2 linked regions of the Pelodiscus sinensis genome follow. The protein of the gene in region 1 binds, or shares a complex with, the protein of each later gene. Links are inferred from orthologs where the notes say so. Each region holds a gene or a part of one and is shown in the gene's direction. Other genes may lie near its edges.

Region 1 (9,861 bases):
CACTAAATGAACAATCCTTTTTTGGATTCTTGAGCTGCCAAACTAAAAGGAAAAGAAAAAAAATCAAGAACTGCTCTGAGAAGCAGTTGTCCTTTCTAGTGGGAAGAGGTAAAAATAGAGGCAGCTCATGAATATGACTTGGCAGTGCTTAATGGCAGCCAGCTTGAAGGGTCAGATCAGTGGGTCTTTCTGGAACTGCTCTCGGAACACTGCCAGCAGGTGTTGCTGTAGGTACAGTAAAAGACAACAATGAAATGAACTGAGTTGGAGGGGGTGGAGAGAAAAACAGAAAGGAAGGAACATAAAAAAATGGTCATCAAATGGAGCATTCATAAGTCTTTTGGTAAAGCTGTACACCAGTTCTCAAAGGAAACTATGAACAGGCCCTGAAATGAAATATGCTGTCTTCAGTCTGCTGCGAGAAATCATTGTCATATGTCATATGTATGTTAGTGTGATTTACTTGGTATCAGTCTTGCTCATTGTATACCTCACTGGAACATAGTGTCATACCTTGTGCTGCTGTTCACTATAGGGCAGGAGCTTGGTGGGCAGAGGGCAGGGGGATGTCTGCTGTATTGTACTTGGATCAGAAATTTATAAGGAGGTGAACGTTAAAAATGTCATCATGTTGATCTTGAGAAGATAAACCTATTACACTCCTGGCTAGCTTTTCCTCTATCCATAAAGTCAATGCTGTGTGAGGTCTTGCTGAGAGCATGTGTGCTGCCAAATTTACAGTCACTGCACTACTGATACCAGTCTTGTAATGAAATTATGTGGTCCTTCAAGTATCTCTCTCACTATCTGTAAAGTGGAAAGTGCTATGATTCTGAATGCCTCAAAATGCAAAGAACCTTCTGAAACCTGTTTCAAGAGACGGGAACCTATAATCAGAAACTTGTGGCAGTCTGAAAATCTTATTTTAAACATATTCCTGCAAACAAACCAATCTATCTGGTCATATGGTTCCCATTAAGTCCTAATTTTGCTCATTTTACTAAACTTATCATGTGAACATGTCTCATTCTTCAACCATTCTCCATTCAGACTGGAATCTATTCTGCATGAGTACTCCCTTATACAAATATGAGTTTAATATTTCTACTCGTTTTCCTAATCAACTTAGTCGTATTCCCCGCCCCCCGCCCCAAAAAAATTTGCTTATACCAATGGTACAAATGAAAGCATATAAATACAATTAGAAGAAATATCCTGAATAATGGAGATTATTTTCTTGAACTCAATGGGTGTTTTGATGAGAAAGAACTGCAGAATCAGGCCCGATTATCATGATCTACATCACAAAATAACTAGCAACAATGTCTGTGAGAAAGAAAGAAAGAAAGAAAGAAAGAAAGAAAGAAAGAAAGAAAGAAAGAAAGAAAGAAAGAAAGAAAGAAAGAAAGAAAGAAAGAAAGAAAGAAAGAAAGAAAGAAAGAAAGAAAGAAAGACCCTTATACATTTTTTACTTTTGTATTACTCAATAGACCTCAATACAGTTACTCTTGATTTTCACTAGTGTAAGTGAGAGCAAATCTCAATACAATTACTCTTGATTTTCACTAGTGTAAGTGAGATCAAATTCTGGCCAATTTTTCTGTGTGCGCCAAGTCAAACATTACTTAGAAGACAGACAACTATGTGTTGTTAACTATAAAAAAATTAGATGTGTTATTTTAAAAGTATGTGATGTGATATCAATATGCAAGAAATAACAAGAACTGGATATGAGAAACATGTTTAAAACAAATAGAATTATACACAGCTTTAAAAGCATCCCTAAGTTAATAAAGAAGCAAAATTTTGCTAGTAAAGAATTATACCACAACAATTATTAATTTTCCTGACTTTTTTTAAAACTTGCAAGTAGTATCTCAATGTTTTCTCACTATCAAAGCAGGATAGGACAATTCTCTTTTTAGTAATTAAATGGCTGACAAATCTTGTGGTTGAACTGACAAAAGCTTAGCTGTGTATATTTATGTAATAAAAAGTTGAAATTTGCCTCTGACTCAGCATGTTTACTTTAAGTCTGATTTTTTTCAAGTTGTACACTTTAAATGGAAAGATACAGGTTTAAAACTGATATTTGAATCCATGACACTTTGTGTCATACTAGACAAACAGGAGTTCCCATCAGCTAATTACCACAAGCATGTCTCACACAGGAAAACAGTCAATTGATGAGGTCATTTGGATAAACCAATCCAACACAGTATTTCAGCCCACCTAATTTTGATCTAATATTCCACAATATTCCAGCTCCTTTAAATATGTGTGAGTATGCACACAAGAACTACAGTATACAGCTTCACATTATTCCACAAAGAGGAATTTGAGCCGTTCTTAATGCATAGTCTGCTAGAAAGAGAGAGGACAGAGAGGTAAAAACTTTAAAATCTATGCTTTTTTCTATTCTTTCGTAAATTAAGACATTTTATCTGCATGTTATCATGAATACATTTAATGCAGTTTATTTAATTTTGAATATTAATATGAATTATATTCTCTCTAGATATCAGATTAATATGGATTTAAAAACAAATATATTTAAGTGTGCACAGTTCAGGATATATGCATAAATGTACATATTGGATTCAAAAGTTTGTTAATATAGAGTGCTGTTTAAATTTTAAATCAATAAACACCAAGGTATGTTAGTACTATATAATGTATATATAGTACATATATATAATATATGTGGTTAAACAACCCTATACAACATACTGGATGGGAAACTAATTACATAGACCTATACCTCTATAGCGATATACACCTTTATTATAAATTCTATGTCAGAGATTATTGTGATGGATGCCACATAAGAATGTATATGGATATATTAATACCTCTTATGTATATACATACCTCGCTACTTTACCTGTCAGTACCTGTAACTCTAAATGTATATTGTCATCTCAAATTATATTTTCAGTCAATTAAACTTTTCATCCTTTTTCAGACTCACTTTCCAACTTACTGTAATTACAACAGATTTTGGGCTGTTCATGAGACCCAAGATATTTATATATAGCAGGGGTTTTGTTACAAAGATGTGTTTATAAGAATGGCTGCAGGGTTTAGAAAAGAAAGCTGACAGGCCCTTAGTATAACAGTATAGCAACTGAGGTGGGTAGATTAGGTTGTACTGTAGATGCTTTTTAACAGAGAAATACTCTTATAAAAGAGCCCCATTGAAAAAAAACAATTGCACTATGTAACATTTGCAAAAAGTCTTGTTGATTGTTCAAATACTTCTGTATATTTAAGTTATTTTCACTTCATTATTTCCTGCCCTTCCTCTCAGATCTTGCGTATGTAGTTATTTTACAGGAATTACAGATCTCACAATGCTTATATTTGTCACTTACTTTTTCCCATTAAAATGTATTTTATGATAATGTATGGAACTCTTTTAGTTGTAAGATATAAGAAACACATTTTGTGTGTGTGATTAAAAAAAAGAATGCACATTGAAAAAAACCAAAAGTGAACTTAAAGATACCTCTAAACGGCAGTTAGAAAGAATCTTGAAAGTTTGGGGTGATAAATCCAGTTTTCTAATTTTTCATTATAACATCAAAACATAAGGAAATTTACTCACTTAAGTGTTTCTTAGCTTGCCAAGGTGAGTAGAATGGAAGATTATAAAACACGTCAGGGCAACATGAGGTGCTGTAACTGACAAAGATAATGATTTTTTAATATGGGGCCAGATCTACAGCTGGTATTAATTGGCATATGGTTACTAGCAGAAGATCTGTCTGGCTTTTAATAGTATTTTAGATTTACTCTTCCTATGTAATCACTTCTTCTGATGTCATGATTGTACTAAGTGGTTTAAGTGAGGGAAATAAAAGAAAACTTCTTTCTAAAAACAATGGGCCAAATCTAGAAGACTTTACTCAGACAAAATTTTTATTGGTATCAGTGAAGGGTTTTGCCTACTTAAGGACTGAGTAAAAACTGAATCAGGGCTTTAGGATTTGGCCAGGATTTCACCTTCAAGAACTTTTCAATCATTACTTGATTAAACTCCAAACCTAAATATATCTGTTTGAGAAGTTCTGGTTGAACACTGGGGTAGAATTAGGGATATATTCGGATGGGAAGGCAGTACCTTAATATGACACACATATGTGGTGTTCTGTCTGTCGCCTGTTTGTATGTTTCTATGTTTTGCTGCAATGTGCAGCTAGAAAAAGTGTAAAGTACTATACAGCTCCCTTCCCTTCCCAAAAGCAAGCAAAACATGTTGCGTTTTGCTCTCTTCAGATCTCTTGCTAGTGTTGATAACTTTAAGCATTAAAATGGAAAAGTAGCATCTTTTCTATTTTTCATTCAGGGCAGGACAATGTTAAACCTCCAATATTCCCTGTCTTCATTCCCTCCCTCACACACTATTTAACATGTGGTCCTATCCTTTTAATATTGGACAGGAGCACAACAAGGTGCTTATCAAAAAGGGTTAACTCTTTTCTTTCATTCACTCTTCTCCTGTTCCATTTGTGATTATTTTGAAAAAAAAAAAAAGATGGGGTACATAAAGGAAATTCAAACAAATATTAAGAGAGAGAAAGAGTAAAGTGAAAAGAAGTGAAAGAGATTTTTTTTAAAAAAGGGGGGGTGAGGGAGGGCAGAAAATATGACTGGTGATATTTGAAGAGAGGTGTGGGTTAGGGAGCAATGAGCATAAGGAAGGCAGCCTGGCTGTTCCTCCCCCTTTCCTAATCATAGCCCTTACTCACAGACAAAACTCCCTCCCTCTCTCATTCACTCACTCACTTTAGGCCAATCCGTCCTCTTTCTCTCTGTGTGTCTCTCTCCTACTCTGAGACAGAGTCAGAACTCTTCTCCCTGACAGCCACAAACATCTACAGCACTTACTGCATTCAGAGAGGGAACCTGCAAACAAAACTTCACAGAAAACTTTCTATTCTTGTTCCAGAGAATTTGCTGAAGAGGAGAGAGGAAAAAAAGAAACCATACAAACAAACAAACAACAAAAAACCTGTGTGTGAAGAGAAAGGAAAAGCAGGGCCTTTTTAAAAGGGAATCACAACAACTTTTGCTGCCAGGATGCCTTTGCTTTTGAAGAGAGAATTTTTGTTGGCGCTTTGCTGGATTATAGTGAAGAGTTCTCCAACCCCAGGATCTGAGGGGCACAGTTCAGTCACCGACTGCCCATCATGTGCCCTTGCCACACTCTCAAAGGATGTGCCAAGCTCACAGCCTGAGATGGTGGAAGCAGTAAAGAAGCACATCCTGAACATGTTGCACTTGAGGGACAGACCTAACATCACCCAGCCGGTGCCCAAGGCAGCACTTTTAAATGCCATAAAAAAACTCCATGTAGGAAAGGTGGGAGAGGACGGCTATGTGGAAATAGAGGATGACATTGGAAGAAGAGCAGAAATGAATGAACTTGTAGAGCAAACTTCAGAAATCATCACATTTGCAGAATCAGGTGAGTGCTAGAAAAAAAATATCTTAAAATATCTTTCTATGCCAGAATTGCAGTTAACTTGTTTCTTCTACCCAACAATAATATTCTCTGTAAGATTATAGGGTGAAGGGAGGAGGGTGAGGGGAAAAGGGTTGTCACAGAATTTGATTTCCCCTGATTTAGTCTTGGATACAGCTTACATGCTTCCACTTGCTAAACTCAGACAGCCAAACAGTAAGGAAGCTATCTAACCAATCTGGAGCAGAAAGTCGGGCTGTAAAGGAACCTTCCAAACTGTGCTTGTGAAACCAGAGCATTTGCACTGATATACTGGACTCTAGGTCTGATGATGAAAGGGAAAGAGCTGCAACCTCTTAGAAAGTTTCTGACAAAAGAAAAGGATTTAAATTTTTAAAAAGTAAAGCTTCCTAGTTAAAAAAAACAACAACAACCATTAGGTAAAACATCACTTGGAGCATATTTAACTTAATACAAGCAAGAGGGTATTTTTGCTGTTTAATTAGCACAGCATCCTAGGCAATAAAGCATTTCAGTGACTGTCAGAGAAACTTCAATAGAACCAGGACAAATAGTTGTAGATGATCCAATTTCTAATGCTGACTTTTGCACACTGGAAAAAAAAAAGGAAATATTCTGTTTCTAAGTGCTCCCTGCCAAAGAATGCAACCTTGACAGTGTTCACTTTGAACTATTCTGATCTCTCCAATTTGTATAATTTGAGTGTATAGAATTTGCAAAACTAATTGCTCAAAAAACCTCGGCATGTGCCTGTAGAAAGCAGCTGTGACATTCTCCCCTAAATGAGCAGAACCGGAACCCATATAATAGAATAGATGTATATGCATATACATAAAATCATCTATATCTTGCTACAGCTGTCTCACCAATCTGGAAAGGTATGAAATTGCTAATAGCAACTCTTTTTATCATTCAGTCTAGCCAAAGAATTTTTCTTGTTGCCAAGACAGTTTTAAAAGAATGTCACTGTTTTGTTTGGTACAGCATATGGTAGGCAAAGTATGCACAGGAACTCCAAGCATTTTTGTTTAAAAGCAGTATAAACAATTAAGACAACACTCAGAGTTTCCAGTCCTGAAAACCTGTTGACTCAGATGTTCTGTTTGCAGGAAAGCCATGCACAGAAGTGTGCATGCTTTTAAGAGCAGACATTCCTGCCGGCTGTATGGCTTCCAACTGCATAAGAAGCCCTTGCGTTTGGCGTCCTTGTCAATGCAGCCGTTATCAATTGTTTCACTGGGAAGAGTGCTGCTTCTCTGCCCTCATATGCTCTCCATTTCAAACACTGGGTAGAAGATCTCAATGCAAGTGAACAATGGAAGCTTTGGTTTTCTACCTGTTTAAGGAATGGACAGAAGCAAAGACTAATGGGCACCCTCCCCAACTGGTTTTCAGCACCTCTCTCTCTAAGCAGAATGGAACACATATGGAAGGAACAGTGGTTTCTGTTCCTCCTGTGCATCCCAATCATTTGTAAACTCACGATTGTCTTTCCTGAGCTCTGACACAAAGGAATTCTGAATCTGATATATGCCTATTAAACACGACAGCCTTGAATTGCAACTCCTAATCCAATTGGCTCAGAGTCACATGACCAAAAGTAACTGTGCCATTGCCCACAAATTGGCCAATAGTCCAGCTGCCAATCTCCGTAATAAAAACTACTGAATGCCCACAGCAGTTTGATTTACATCTACATAGTGATCAATATTAACAGCAACATTATTTTAATAAGATTTGTGGTATCTAGTTCTTTAATAGAATGCAGGGTGTAGAATTTTATTCTCTTGTATTTTTTGTTGTATTAAGACTCTCCATTTTCTTGGAGCCATGGCATGTATCTTCTAAGAGATGTTTGGGGCCTTTTTTCCATACTGGCGGGACTTTAGTTGGTAGGAGAGTAAGGGATGTGCTGAATAAAAGTCGTGTACATGAGTCTAAGTTTATAATGGAAAAATTGACTTCCACTAGGGAATGATATTTGTAGGATGGAGTCATTGCTGCTAGTCAGTTCTTTAACCTGCTGAACAAATAATTTTCCTCTATAAATTCAAGATCCATTAATAATACTTTACAGTTCAATAACACTTTCAATCCAGGGAGCTCACAGTGTTATATAAACACTAATGATTTAATTAAACTTGACATCAACTCACTGACACATATTTACTTGCAAAGAGGGAGGTTAAAGCCTAAAACAGTATTATTTTCCATATGCATATGTGGAAACTGAGGCAAAAAAGAATTCAAGCAACTTCTCTCAGGTATGTGGAAGAGCCTGGAATAGAACACAGATTCATGGGCAATTCCCAAAGCCTATAATATTCTCACTACTCTTACCAGAAACTACCATAATCTAAAAAAGAAGCTATTGAGAGTCAGTGAAAATGAATGGAAATTTGACACAAGTTATCTCAGCTTTTGAAAATAGGAGTAAGAATTTAGATTTTTGTTTGTGTGGGTATGACTACACATAATCCTATCAGACATCACCCTCTCAGGACTTGTGGTTATTCTATATTCAAAGGCAAAAAAAGAGATATTGTGAAATAGTCTTCAGCTATTGCACATAAATATACAATGAAAATGAAGTCTGCACACGTACTACTTTGTGCTTCTAGTCTGTTTTTCAAACCTTCTATTCTGGCTGATGTTTTATAAAATAGAGAAACTAAAATGCAAATAGTACAGGACACAGTTAAATGGCAAGGGGTGGGGGTGGGAATGGGGAAGGAGTAAATCTATTGAACTCATAAAGCACAGGTGTCCTCATATCCTTGAGATCAGCAGAATTTTTGGCAGGTACTTTTCACTGCACATCTTTGTAAAATGAGTGACCAAGAGTACTGGGCAAAAGTTTACAAAAGAACCCTACTGTATACTGACATTCTAACAAGTAAAACAAGAACATGATTTTCTACTTGCATATCAAGTATTACAGTTACTAAGTGGGATTAGTACTGCTGGAGCATCCTTTTGCCAAAACTTTGTGGTTTACTTCCAGGTCTTAAAAGTTGTGTTAGAGAAGAGAGAGAGAGAGAGAGAGAGAGAGAGAGAAAGAGAAAGAGAGAGAGAAGGTGTGTCTAGACTACAGGGTTTTTTCGACAAAAGTTGGCTTTTATCAACAAAACTATACCTGCGTCTACACTACCGCTGCGTTCTGTCGACAGTAAGTTTTGTCGACAGCAGTAAACTTCATTTTACGAGGAATAACATCTTTTTTCGAAAGTACTCTTTTGAAAAAAGGCGGTATTGCATGGAAACTGTGCTTTTTTGAAAGAGAGCGTCTACACTCTCTTTCGAAAAAGCGGCTTGCTTTGTCGACGATACTGATCACAGGCTAGATGCAGTATCTGTCAACAAAGCCTCTGTCGAAAAAGGCGTGCAGTCTAGACGTAGCCAGAGAGAGAGAGAGAGAGAGAGAGAGAGAGAGAGAGAGTGTGTGTAAGACATATATGCTCTTCATAAGCATAGCCACAAGTTTCCACTGCTGAGCTAGGCAATATTTATAAAATCTGGTTGACTACTCACCCCTTTATTTTTTTAAGTAGATAGCTTATTAGCCAGTCAAACTACTAAACTCTGGGATAGTGCCATGTGCATATAACTGAGACTGGCAACTAAATCAGCACTGACTGGGTTGCTAACATCAGCCACTGGGTAAGAGAGGGGAATTATAAGCATTGAAATCTCAAAGCTTGTCATTAGAGATGCCAAGAATAAATGAGATTTGTAATAGCTATTCACATCAGTGTTACCCTTTTGCGTCATTTCATGTCAAATTTAGACATGAATTGATTTGACAGTAAAGTCTCAGATGTCTCTTTTTCCTAGATAGATAGCCAGCCCTGGCATTAACAGCAAGGTGTTTGGTGGAGAGGATGAGGAAAGGAGGAGGATTGCTCATTTAAACCTCTTTAAATTGTTTCATCAATTGTCTTTATAAAAGACGCTTATTTAGGTACACATCCTTCTGTGCTCAGTAAAAGCACTCCATAGCCACAAGAGGGCACACTCTTCCAAAGGCTTTTCAGTTCATGCAAGTGAACCTTCCTGCAAACTGCTATTGTACCTAATTGGATCCTGAATCCCAAAGATCTTTGTGCTTATCTGTAGCCTCTGAGTGGACATCTTGTTTCTCCCATCTACTTTAAAAGGCAGAAATTCACTGGAGTGGAAGACTACCAGAAAAACAATGCATTATAAGGAAACAGGCAAAGGAAGGGAACAGATAAATCTGATAATTTGTTGGATGCTTACATTCTGGAAATGTAGAGATCAAAAATTATTTAAAAAAAACCAGACAGAAAAATGTGACCGTGAATCATCAGCTGAGTTGATTTTATCACATTTTTTTTTCTAATGCAGTCTCC
Region 2 (10,126 bases), on another chromosome or scaffold:
CCCTCATGCAACAAGGTTTACCGGGATGGCAAAACTGCACCCATTATTTTGAAAAATATTTTGAAATAATGGGCAGCTTGTGTGGACATGGAGTAGCTATTTTGGGATACCTCTGGGCTGTGTCTAGACTGACCAGTTTTTTGGGAAAATCAGCCACTTTTCTGGAAAAACTTGCCAACTGTCTACACTGGCTGCTTGAATTTCTGCAAAAGCACTGACTTCCTACTGTAAGAAATCAGTGCTTTTTGTGGAAATACTATGCTGCTCCTGTTTGGGCAAAAGTCCCTTTTGCGCAAAAGGGCCAGTGTAGACAGCTGAGATTTGTTTTGCGCAAAAAAGCCCCGATCGTGAAAATGGCGATCGGGGCTTTTTTTGCGGAAAAGCGTCCATGCCAGTCTATACGCTCTTTTCCGAAAATGCTTTTAATGGGAAACTTTTCCATTAAAAGCATTTCCAGAAAATCATGCCAGTCTAGACGTAGCCCTGGTGTCCTGAAATAGCTGTGCTGGGTAGATATACCCTTAAGCTGTGTCTAGACTGGCAAGTTTTTCCGCAAAATCATATGCTTTTGCGGAAAAAATTTCTAGCTGTCTACACTGGCCGCTTGAATTTCCAGAAAAGCACTGACGATCTCATGTAAGATCGTCAGTGCTTTTCCGGAAATACTATGCTGCTCCCATTTAGGCAAAAGTCTTTTTCCGAAAAACTTTTGCGCAAAAGGGCCAGTGTGGACAGCACAGTACTGTTTTCCACAAAAAAGCCCCGATCGTGAAAAAGTGCTTTTGCGGAAAAGCATCCTGCCAATCTAGACGTGCTTTTCCGAAAATGCTTTTAACGGAAAAGTTTTCCGTTAAACGCATTTTTGGAAAATCATGCCAGTGTAGACGTAGCCTTAGTGTTTAATATCTTACATCCATAAACTTTTTTCTCTCAGCTTTAGGAAAAAATAAATTGTCAATATCCTTGTCCTCGTCTAGTTAGAAATATAATTAAATTTCATATCAGTAGCATACAAGTATAAATTCTGTACACAAATTCTCACTCATTAAAGAAACAAATGAATTCTATCTTAAAGTACATCCAGTACTTGCAGAAAGTAATATTAGAACTTTGTTAAGACAATGTGAAGCTAAGCATTGTCTATTTTAACATGAAAATGGCCTGACCATACAAGACATTCTAAAAATGCACCCTTTCAATATATCTCTTTATGTATATTTTTCTGAGAAGCAGTTTGTGAAATTCTATAGCAAGTGTAAACTGTCCAGAGGTGAATCTCTCTACACTGAGAAAAATAAATTGCTGTCTAGTGTATAGTATAATGATGCTTAGAAAATTATTTACATATATATTTTTCAGAGAAAAGAACCTATTAACTAAAAGGTCAATTTTCAAAAGTAATTTTCAGAAAAAACAGCTAGGGGTTGAAAACTGACTGACTTTGTTTCCTGAGAGGAGGAGAAGTCAATCATCTCAGCACAGATACCATCTGATTTTGTGGCAGACCAAAATCAACTAGCCTAGAAATGTCCATCTGCAAAACAGAGTGAACTTGAATCCTTTTCCATCCCTCCCTTGAATTCTGGATAAAGATGTGGCAGGAAATGCTCCCACACGTGTCCACTCACAAACCAAACTCCTCCCCAAAACTTTTACTTTTACTGATTGAGGCCCCAGACTACCACCAACATCCCAAAAAAGATCTGTCACCCAAAATATTTGCTTCTGCTAGAAGAAAGGGTCGAGAGGTGACCTCTTCCCATTAGGGCTACATCTAGACTGCAAGCCTCTTTCAAAAAAGCTTTTTTCAAAAGATATTTTCGAAAAAGAGCGTCTAGACTACAACCAGTACTTTCAAAAAAGCAAGCCGCTTTTTTGAAAGAGAGCACCCAAGCAATCTGGATGCTCTCTTTCGAAAAAGCACAGTTTACATTACATAAAGCCTTTTTTCAAAAGATCACTTTCGAAAAAAGGAGTTATTCCTCATAAAACGAGGTTTTCCACGGTCAAAAAAACTGCCACGTTCCTTTGATTTACTTTCAAAAGAATGCAGCAGCAGTCCAGACGCAGGGGAAGTTTTTCAAAAAAAGGCCACTTTAAAAAAAACAAACAAACATGTAGTCTAGACACACCATAGGGTTATGTCTACACTAGCCCCCTAGTTCGAACTACGGTGGGTAATGTAGGCATTCGAACTTGCAAATGAAGCCCGGGATTTAAATATCCTGGGCTTCATTTGCATGTTCCCGGGTGAGCGCCATTTTTAAATCCCCTTAGTTCTAACTGACTGCCAGGGCTTCATTTGCAAGTTCGGATGCCTACATTAGCCACCCTAGTTCAAACTAGGGGGCTAGTGTAGACGTACCCTAGGAGATAAAGTCTGCTTCTTTATTAGGAAACTGGCCCTTGGCAGAAAGCATGAGAAAACTCCAAGACATTAATAAAATGAATACTTAGTGTCCACAACAATAAATGACAAAAAAATAGTTTGTTTAATAGTACATTTCACACAAAGTAAATCTGAAGAACTATTTTGTTCCTCAAGCAGTATTTTACTGCTACTGCTTCAGAGCCAGGCCAGTCAATATTTACATAATATTTGTGATATATAGATAGACAGATTTTGTTATAGCCACACATCTATTGTATACATCAGAGATATACCCAAGCTGCAAGAGTGTATGTGAATCTAAATCTGAATCTGAACTTTGCTGAAGCTTTATATCTTTGTATCTAGCATTTTAACTTAATTATATTTTTATTTGTATTTGGAGACTGGGGCCAGCTGCAAAATTTAGACCTAAATCCAAAATCACATATTAAAATTGATAAACATCTTGCAAAAAGATAGTTTTTAAAACTGACAGTGTCAGAACAACAGTCTTTTATGTCCTGCCTGACAATTCAGTTATAGAGTGGTATATGTTGCCAGTTCTGTAATTTATATTTACTTGTTGGCAAAACAAAGAAGTGGGGAGAAATGGTAAATAGAGGCAAACAGATACATGAAAAAAGTTTTTTGATTAAACAATGCATCTCTGACCTTTATCTGTATACAGACCCAATATTTAACATTTAAAAAAGACAATACAATTAAAGAAACAGCAGCTGTTTCTATGTGATGTCAGAAAACAGGTGGGATGCAAGTTTCCATGCCAGTGCAATCATATTGATCTCCTGATGATGCACATATGAAGCACATATGCAACCATTGTTGACCTATCATGCGACTCATTTCCAGGAATATGGCCAGATAATGCCCCAATATAATAAACAAACACTGTCTAGAATCAGTATAAACATTTTATCTGACAGATCAATAAAAATCCAAGGTGAAGCTGAAATAAAACCAACATGTGTCTGTATCACAAAACAAATACTGAGATCCCTATTCACAAGGGCAGCAGAAGCAGCAGCAATTTGTTGTTTCCCACACTGCCCTGCCAATGACCCCAACCCTGACCTGAAGGGGCCACCCTCACTTTGGTGAGAGGCAGTTCACTCTTGGGTCTGCCTGCGGGGGAGGACAAAATGCTTACTTATGTGAGTGGGGGTGATTTTATAATGTGGACTACTGGGTCCACTGGGAAGAAACTCAGATCCAAAGGTGCTGGAACAATTGTTTTAGTGGAGGTGCTTAGAACCATTGAACCAAACTGTAAATCCTGTATATAATTGAAACCACTTGAAGACAGGAGATCCTGCAGCACCTCCTGCATCCCTACTTCCAGCATCCTATGCTGAGACTCGCACCCCCAAATTCATGTTATGGATCTGAGGGACACTAGTGAAAGGTTTGTAGTACTCACCTCATCCCTACGGACATATACCTGAGAGAGAATCCTTGTGTCTTTATGAATGGTAGGAATGGGGAGTGGATATACACCCCACAAAACGTTCCAGGCCTATGACTCACCACATTTCCTGAAAGTTTTGTAACATTTCCTAACTAAGCAGAGGTGATATAAGGTTAATGTTGTACCTGGATTTTACACTGCTGTTTAACAAAACTGATGGGCCTGGGGAAGAGAGCATGTCTGAAGTTATCCACCTATTTTTGTTCCTTGGGCCTTGTTGAGGAGCACTGAGAGAAACTATGCTTTGCAAAGCATGTTACACCATAAGTATCAAAGCCAACCCCCTTTTAAAAGCAGCCTTTATCCAGGAGCTCATGAGTAAGGGATATTTGTTGTTAATTGTTAATGTCATCTGCCATTAGAGGGCACTAAACAACCCTGCATTAATGCTGGTTGAGAGAGAGAGAGAGAGAAAGAGAAAGAGGGGGCACCTATTTGAGGAACGCTTTAAAAGGGATGTGTAGTCCCAAAAAAGCTTCTGAAGTTATCAGAATGCCCCAAAGCTGCTCAGGGATGATCACAATAATAGTAACACAAATTGTAGCGAGGTCAGTTATTTACCAGTCTGCTTCTTAATGCGTGTGACTGCAGGTGGTGCAACGGGACATTGTGATTCATGCTCACTTTGAAAGCAGGACCAGGGCCCGGTCTGAGGCACCCAAACAACTGTCTTCTAATATTAGCACGGCTGTATTTCTGGATCTATTATAGTCTGTCCAGACAGATCCCATTGTAATGGGATCTTTTATTAAAAGATTAGCACTATCTCCTGCAGTTGGTGGAAAAAAATCTGTTATCACTGAGTTATTTGCAGTTGTGATGGGGGAGTAAGGAGAAAAGCTTGCAGAATAAAGAGGGGGGGAGTTACGGAGACTAGGATGGGGTGGGGAGGAATCGGTAGAACTTTCACATAAATCCCATTGACCTGGCAATGTCCAAGAATTTTGTCTGCATATTTTGCTGTCTGTTGTGCTTTGGTGGCTCTGAGCAGCAGCGAAAGAATCGAAATTAAAAAGCCAGCTTTTGAATAAACAATACCATTTTCCGTTAAGTAATCATTTTGTATAAAAGGAAATATCGCCTACTCAGTTTCATTCAGCGATGCCAAAAAATGTTATAAATGAGAGACCGCCAACTTTCTAAGGGGAGAATAATGCCAGACTGTGCTTAATAAAGTAGTGCTCTAGAAGTTCATTATCGATGTTGCAACCTTTTTGATTCTGAAAGGAGACCGCCTACGTCGCCCCCCTAATTCCGGTCTATACTGCAGGCGCTCCCAGTGAAAAGATTGTCACTTGCGCAAAACCATAGGTATTAAACTTTTGTTTGGTTTTGACCAGTCACAGGGAGGGAGGAGTGTGCGCGCCAAACACTTAACTACTGTTTGAGGTGTTGGGGTAAATTTATTATTAGTCACAGACAGGGAATGGGAATCACACACACACACCCCAACAGCAACAAAAATCGTGTCTTCCAAGAGACGTCATCAACTTTTGCTGCGCCCCAAAACTTCTAACAAGAAGCAAAAACATTTCCGCGCGCTGATCAGATTGTGTTTGTTTTCAAGTTCCTTTTGGCCACGATGTGGGGGCTAAAGGAAAGGATCACGCCTCTCCTTCCCCACAGAAGTGACATGGCTCTTGCTTTAGTCCTATGAATTGTGTTAAAGCCCCTAGTTCCTCTGCGTGCGCGCGTGCGCGCCTTCTGGTATTAATGACACAAGTGGATAGTTCTTTTCTCTCTCTCTCTCTCTCTAAGCTCTAGTTACCATTCTGTTTTTGCACTCCTTCCTGTTACTACGCAAAGAACTCCAGCGTTTCCCTCTTGCAGATTTGATGTGTATGTGTGTGAGAGAGAGAGAGAGAGAATGCACCTAAAACAGATAATTGGAAAGGGTTTCCAGAAGGTGGAAAATGTCACCTGATTCACAGCGAACTTTTTAAATCTCCCCACCCCCGAACACACACACATTAGGAGACCGCCCACCGCAGACAGCTAAGACCCCCTTATAGATTTAAAGAGAGACTGCATTGAGAGGCTGACGTTCATTCAATAGAGCGATCATAAGCAGACTGACTAGTGCTCTCTGTCTCTCTCTTTCTCTGCTCCACTTGATATTGTTTCTGCCTCTTTCACTCACGGGCATACTGAGGATGTTAAATCAGAGAATCCACCCGGGCGTGCTTTTATTCCTGATGCTTGTGTGCCACTTCATGGAAGATCATACCGTACAGGGTAAGATGAGATTATTTGTTTGCAGTTGTGTTTTATTTTCTGTCTTTTTCTCAATGTTTAGTTGTCTCCTGCGAACGCCTCTCTACAAGGGACCAGCTTAAGGAATAGAACCTCAACTTAACTGTGAGAGTAGGACCGCTTTGTACAAATGTATGGAGGTGACATATTTGATCGGCTCCACAAACGGCTGGGCATAGTACTGAGGAGGGATGGTGATGATGATTGTTATTTATTATTATTGTAAAGCATGAATGAACAGCAGCCACACACAGGAACTTTCTTACTCCAGCAGTCTTAAAGTTTTTGTGGCAATGGAGCTTAGATTTTCCTCTCGGCTGCTTTGGCTGCAAGGATGGTGAATTCCGCGATCACAAATGACATTTTCAGACGCTAATATTAGTCATTTTCCCGCTATCCTTTCAATATTCGTGTGACAGCCTCCCGGCCGCCCGTTCACATCCACGTTTGTGAGTGAATTGTGTTGAGCTATGAATTCTGCTGCACTAGCGAATGTGTTTAAATACATGTCCCAGCCGAGCAAAACAAACAGAAAATGTAATAGTTGTCTTTCCCAAATAATTATTGGGGGAGGAAGGTTCTTGATGCCGCTCCGTTAACAACCTGCATAACTTAGATTGTTGTTTTTTACTGAAGGTTGTTGGGTTTGGGGTTTTTTTTTCGCTGAGCTGGATGTATAGGTTAACTTTGTGAAGGCAACTAAAAGGAATTCAAAGCTGACTTCTAACAGTCTTTTGAGCCAGGAAAACTGATTTTCAAAAGGGTGTTGTTTATTCACTAATTACCTTTGGGGACGCTTCCCTCTACAGTCTCCCCATGTATATCGGTCTGAGGGACCGATCCTACATTCCTCTCCGGGAAAATTCCCAATGGAGTAAAGAGACAGGATCTAGCCCCTGCTGGATAAGTACCAGAATCAATTGCTTTTGAGTTGCTGGAGAAGTCACATTGGTTATTCACGAGAGGCTCATCCCAACCAAAACCCTCCAACTAAAAAAGGGGGAGTTGCTTGGACTAATGTTCTTGGCTTGAATCCATAAATAGCAGAGATACTAGTAAAACAAATCTCTATCCGATGTAAGTGCAGTGTTACTCTCTATGAAACTGCGTCTGAAACAGACGACATCTATAACTTTTTATCTAGTGGCCTCCTATTTCTGTGCCCCGGCATCTTGTTTACTTTGATCGCCCTTCTTTGGATCTCAGTTAATTTTCTTCAGCAAAGAAGAGACATTTCCTAAGGGAAGCAGCAACATTTCGAGATTTCGAAAGACTTCGCCAACAGGCAAATATTACCAATTTTTGCAGATTGTTAAAACGGCCTCGAATGAGACTCCGGGCAGCACTAGAACAGTGTTGTACAGCATTTTTGAAGAGGAAGAAGGGGGGAGGTGTCTGCAAGGGTGTTTTATTTTTATTCTTTTTTAAATACAGATCCTTTTCATACCTCTGTCACGTGCATGCAAGTCCCCATGGTCTACATATGGAATAAATACCTCCGAACACTGCCTTGTCCTGTTTCGATCGGGTTATTTAAACTGCGCTGCCTATTGCCCCAGAGTAGCTGCAGGTTATGAAATGGGACAAATAAAAGTAAACAGTCTAGTAAAAGTCAATGCAAGCCGCACGTGTTGTGTCTGGGTCACTGGTAACTGACATTGATATGGCTGGGTCTCGTTCTCCTTCTCGCTCTTGCAGCTGGGAATTGTTGGCTCCGGCAGGCAAAGAACGGCCGCTGCCAAGTCCTCTATAAGACTGATCTGAGCAAGGAGGAGTGCTGCAAAACGGGCAGGCTCACCACTTCATGGACTGAAGAAGACGTCAACGACAACACGCTTTTTAAGTGGATGATTTTTAACGGGGGCGCCCCAAACTGTATCCCATGCAAAGGTGTGTTTGCAAAGTGCTCCGAAACCGCAGGTGCAGGCACTGGGGTGGTGGGGGTGGCCGGGACAGAGTCAGCAGAGGTAGCAGTGTTTCCCTGTGTCGTGCTCCAATTACGATTTTAAAGTTCATCCCAGGAAGTAAATGCTCCTTGGGACCTGGAGTTAGTGAGAAGGGGAAGGGATGTAGCCTCTGCGTGGTCAAATATGATCCAGAATGATCCTTCTATTTGGTGGATCTCTCAGGACCCCACATTTTGTTTTCTGGCTGAAAAAAAAACAAACCTTGTTCGCTCCCTTTGTATCGTGGGATTGTCGGGGTATTTTGTAAACACTGTTTATCTGAAGTCTGATGAGCAGAGTAGGTATTAAAATGTTGCCTCTTTCGCCTCCTCCCCTTCCCCCTTTTAGAAACGTGTGAGAACGTGGACTGCGGACCTGGAAAGAAATGTAAAATGAACAAGAAGAACAAACCTCGGTGTGTTTGTGCTCCGGACTGCTCTAATGTCACTTGGAAAGGTCCTGTGTGTGGCTTAGATGGGAAAACCTACAGGAACGAGTGTGCTCTCCTCAAAGCCAGATGTAAAGAGCAACCCGAACTTGAAGTCCAATATCAGGGCAAATGCAAAAGTAGGTTTGCAAATCTAACCAAGTCCTCCCCGAATAATACAGGGTGTGTGTCTGAGTGTAGGGAGGAGGAGCTGACGTACTTCCCCACAATAACAAGATGTTTCAAATGCTGAGGGACAAAAAGTAAACCACGCTCAACCGACAAACCATAGCTGATTGAGAGTCCCCCAGAGTCATGCCGCGCTGTGTTCACACCAGCTTCCCTGAGATATGAAGGTTTTATCCCGTGGCTCTTTTTTTTATGAAAGAAGCTGCCGAAGACTTTGATTTTATCATTTCCTCGATTGTTTCACATATTCACTCCCAGTATGAACCATTGGATCGCCTGTTAATATGTTTCCGTCTTTATTTCAGAGACTTGTCGGGATGTTTTATGTCCAGGCAGTTCCACGTGTGTGGTTGATCAAACTAATAATGCCTACTGTGTGACCTGTAATCGGATTTGCCCGGAGCCTACTTCCCCGGAACAGTATCTCTGTGGGAATGATGGAATAACGTATGCTAGTGCTTGCCACCTGAGAAAGGCAACCTGCCTACTAGGCAGATCTATTGGATTAGCCTACGAGGGAAAATGTATCAGTAGGTATCAGCCTTTGGAGTGCTTATAGGGGAAGAGGGAATCGTTCTTCATAATTTGTTGTTTCACAGTTTAGTAGGCAGGTATCTGCATGCAGGTTATTTCCTAGAAGTGAATGTGTTGTGGACTCCTGCAGTTTTTACACAAACAAATGGGGGAAGTTTGCTTGAGTGACCCACACAAGATTTTGGGCACCAACAGGGAACAAAGGGTTCAATCCTTGATATCAATGTGAGTTTCCATACTATTTTTAATAGGAGCTGTAGTAAGGCCCTCAAATGTATTATGACTTGACAACATATCATAATAGATAAAAAATAGTCTTGCCATGAATGAAAGGACAGGATGAGATGACCAATCCTATGATTCTATGAACAGAGTAACACAGTCTCAACATTCAGATGATCTGGATTCTTGGAAACATTTGTCTTCAAGTGGTCTTGGCAAACGTTATTTAATGTCAGTCAGATGTAGTGATTAAGGAGAGGTGTTGTGGATTAAGATAAGAACATAATCTCAAACCACCCTGGTATTTTATACAAGGTCTAATTCTTAATAATATCATCACAATACGTGTGTGTTTTTATTATATGCATTTCAGGTAACTACATGTCTGAAAAATTATCTTTGCAAGTTAAAGATCTCACATCTATTTATTTTAATGACACAAACGACTATTTTATATGTTTAAGCTTGACAAATAATCAATGTAGAAATGTTTAATTAATTGTCCAATTGTAGACTTCCCATTAAAGTCACTGGGGTGAGTGGATTCCCATTGGTTTCAACCAGAAAAGGTCAGGTGTCATTTAGAATATGCAAATTTCATTCCAGCTTTCTGGGGCCAAATTCTGCTTACTTTGCTCCTCCCCTACTGCCCTCTCCCTTCCCCTGTCCACTGATTTCCAAAAGCACTATGTGCTTTG

What was found. Proteins that work in one complex are often made in the same cells at the same time.
Region 2: the proteins of INHBA (region 1) and FST are in contact, whole or in part, in a crystal structure (PDB 2P6A), measured with the Homo sapiens proteins. The link is inferred for Pelodiscus sinensis from reciprocal best matches to the Homo sapiens genes INHBA and FST. Residues at the interface, in NP_002183.1 of Homo sapiens: Asp315, Phe327, Asp337, Trp338, Ile340, Ala341, Gly344, Tyr345, His346, Gly360, Thr361, Gly363, Phe368, Thr371, Arg397, Ser400, Leu402, Tyr404, Asp405, Asp406, Gly407, Gln408, Asn409, Ile410, Ile411, Lys412; in NP_037541.1 of Homo sapiens: Trp33, Arg35, Val44, Leu45, Arg60, Phe76, Met79, Asp135, Glu152, Pro154, Glu155, Val180, Val181, Asp182, Gln183, Tyr188, Val190, Arg221, Thr224, Cys225, Arg229, Ser230, Ile231, Gly232, Leu233, Glu328.

The regions. Positions count from the first base shown.
Region 1 is NC_134712.1:165,916,765-165,926,625, forward strand, and holds the start of INHBA (inhibin beta A chain), read left to right. Parts: upstream 1-4,743; 5' UTR 4,744-5,082; coding exon 5,083-5,470; intron 5,471-9,861. UniProt on the Homo sapiens protein: Inhibins/activins are involved in regulating a number of diverse functions such as hypothalamic and pituitary hormone secretion, gonadal hormone secretion, germ cell development and maturation, erythroid differentiation, insulin secretion, nerve cell survival, embryonic axial development or bone growth, depending on their subunit composition.
Region 2 is NC_134716.1:98,251,073-98,261,198, reverse strand, and holds the start of FST (follistatin), read left to right. Parts: upstream 1-5,618; 5' UTR 5,619-6,010; coding exon 6,011-6,092; intron 6,093-7,808; coding exon 7,809-8,000; intron 8,001-8,404; coding exon 8,405-8,623; intron 8,624-8,977; coding exon 8,978-9,202; intron 9,203-10,126. UniProt on the Homo sapiens protein: Multifunctional regulatory protein whose primary function is to antagonize members of the transforming growth factor beta (TGF-beta) superfamily including activin, myostatin, GDF11 or bone morphogenetic proteins (BMPs).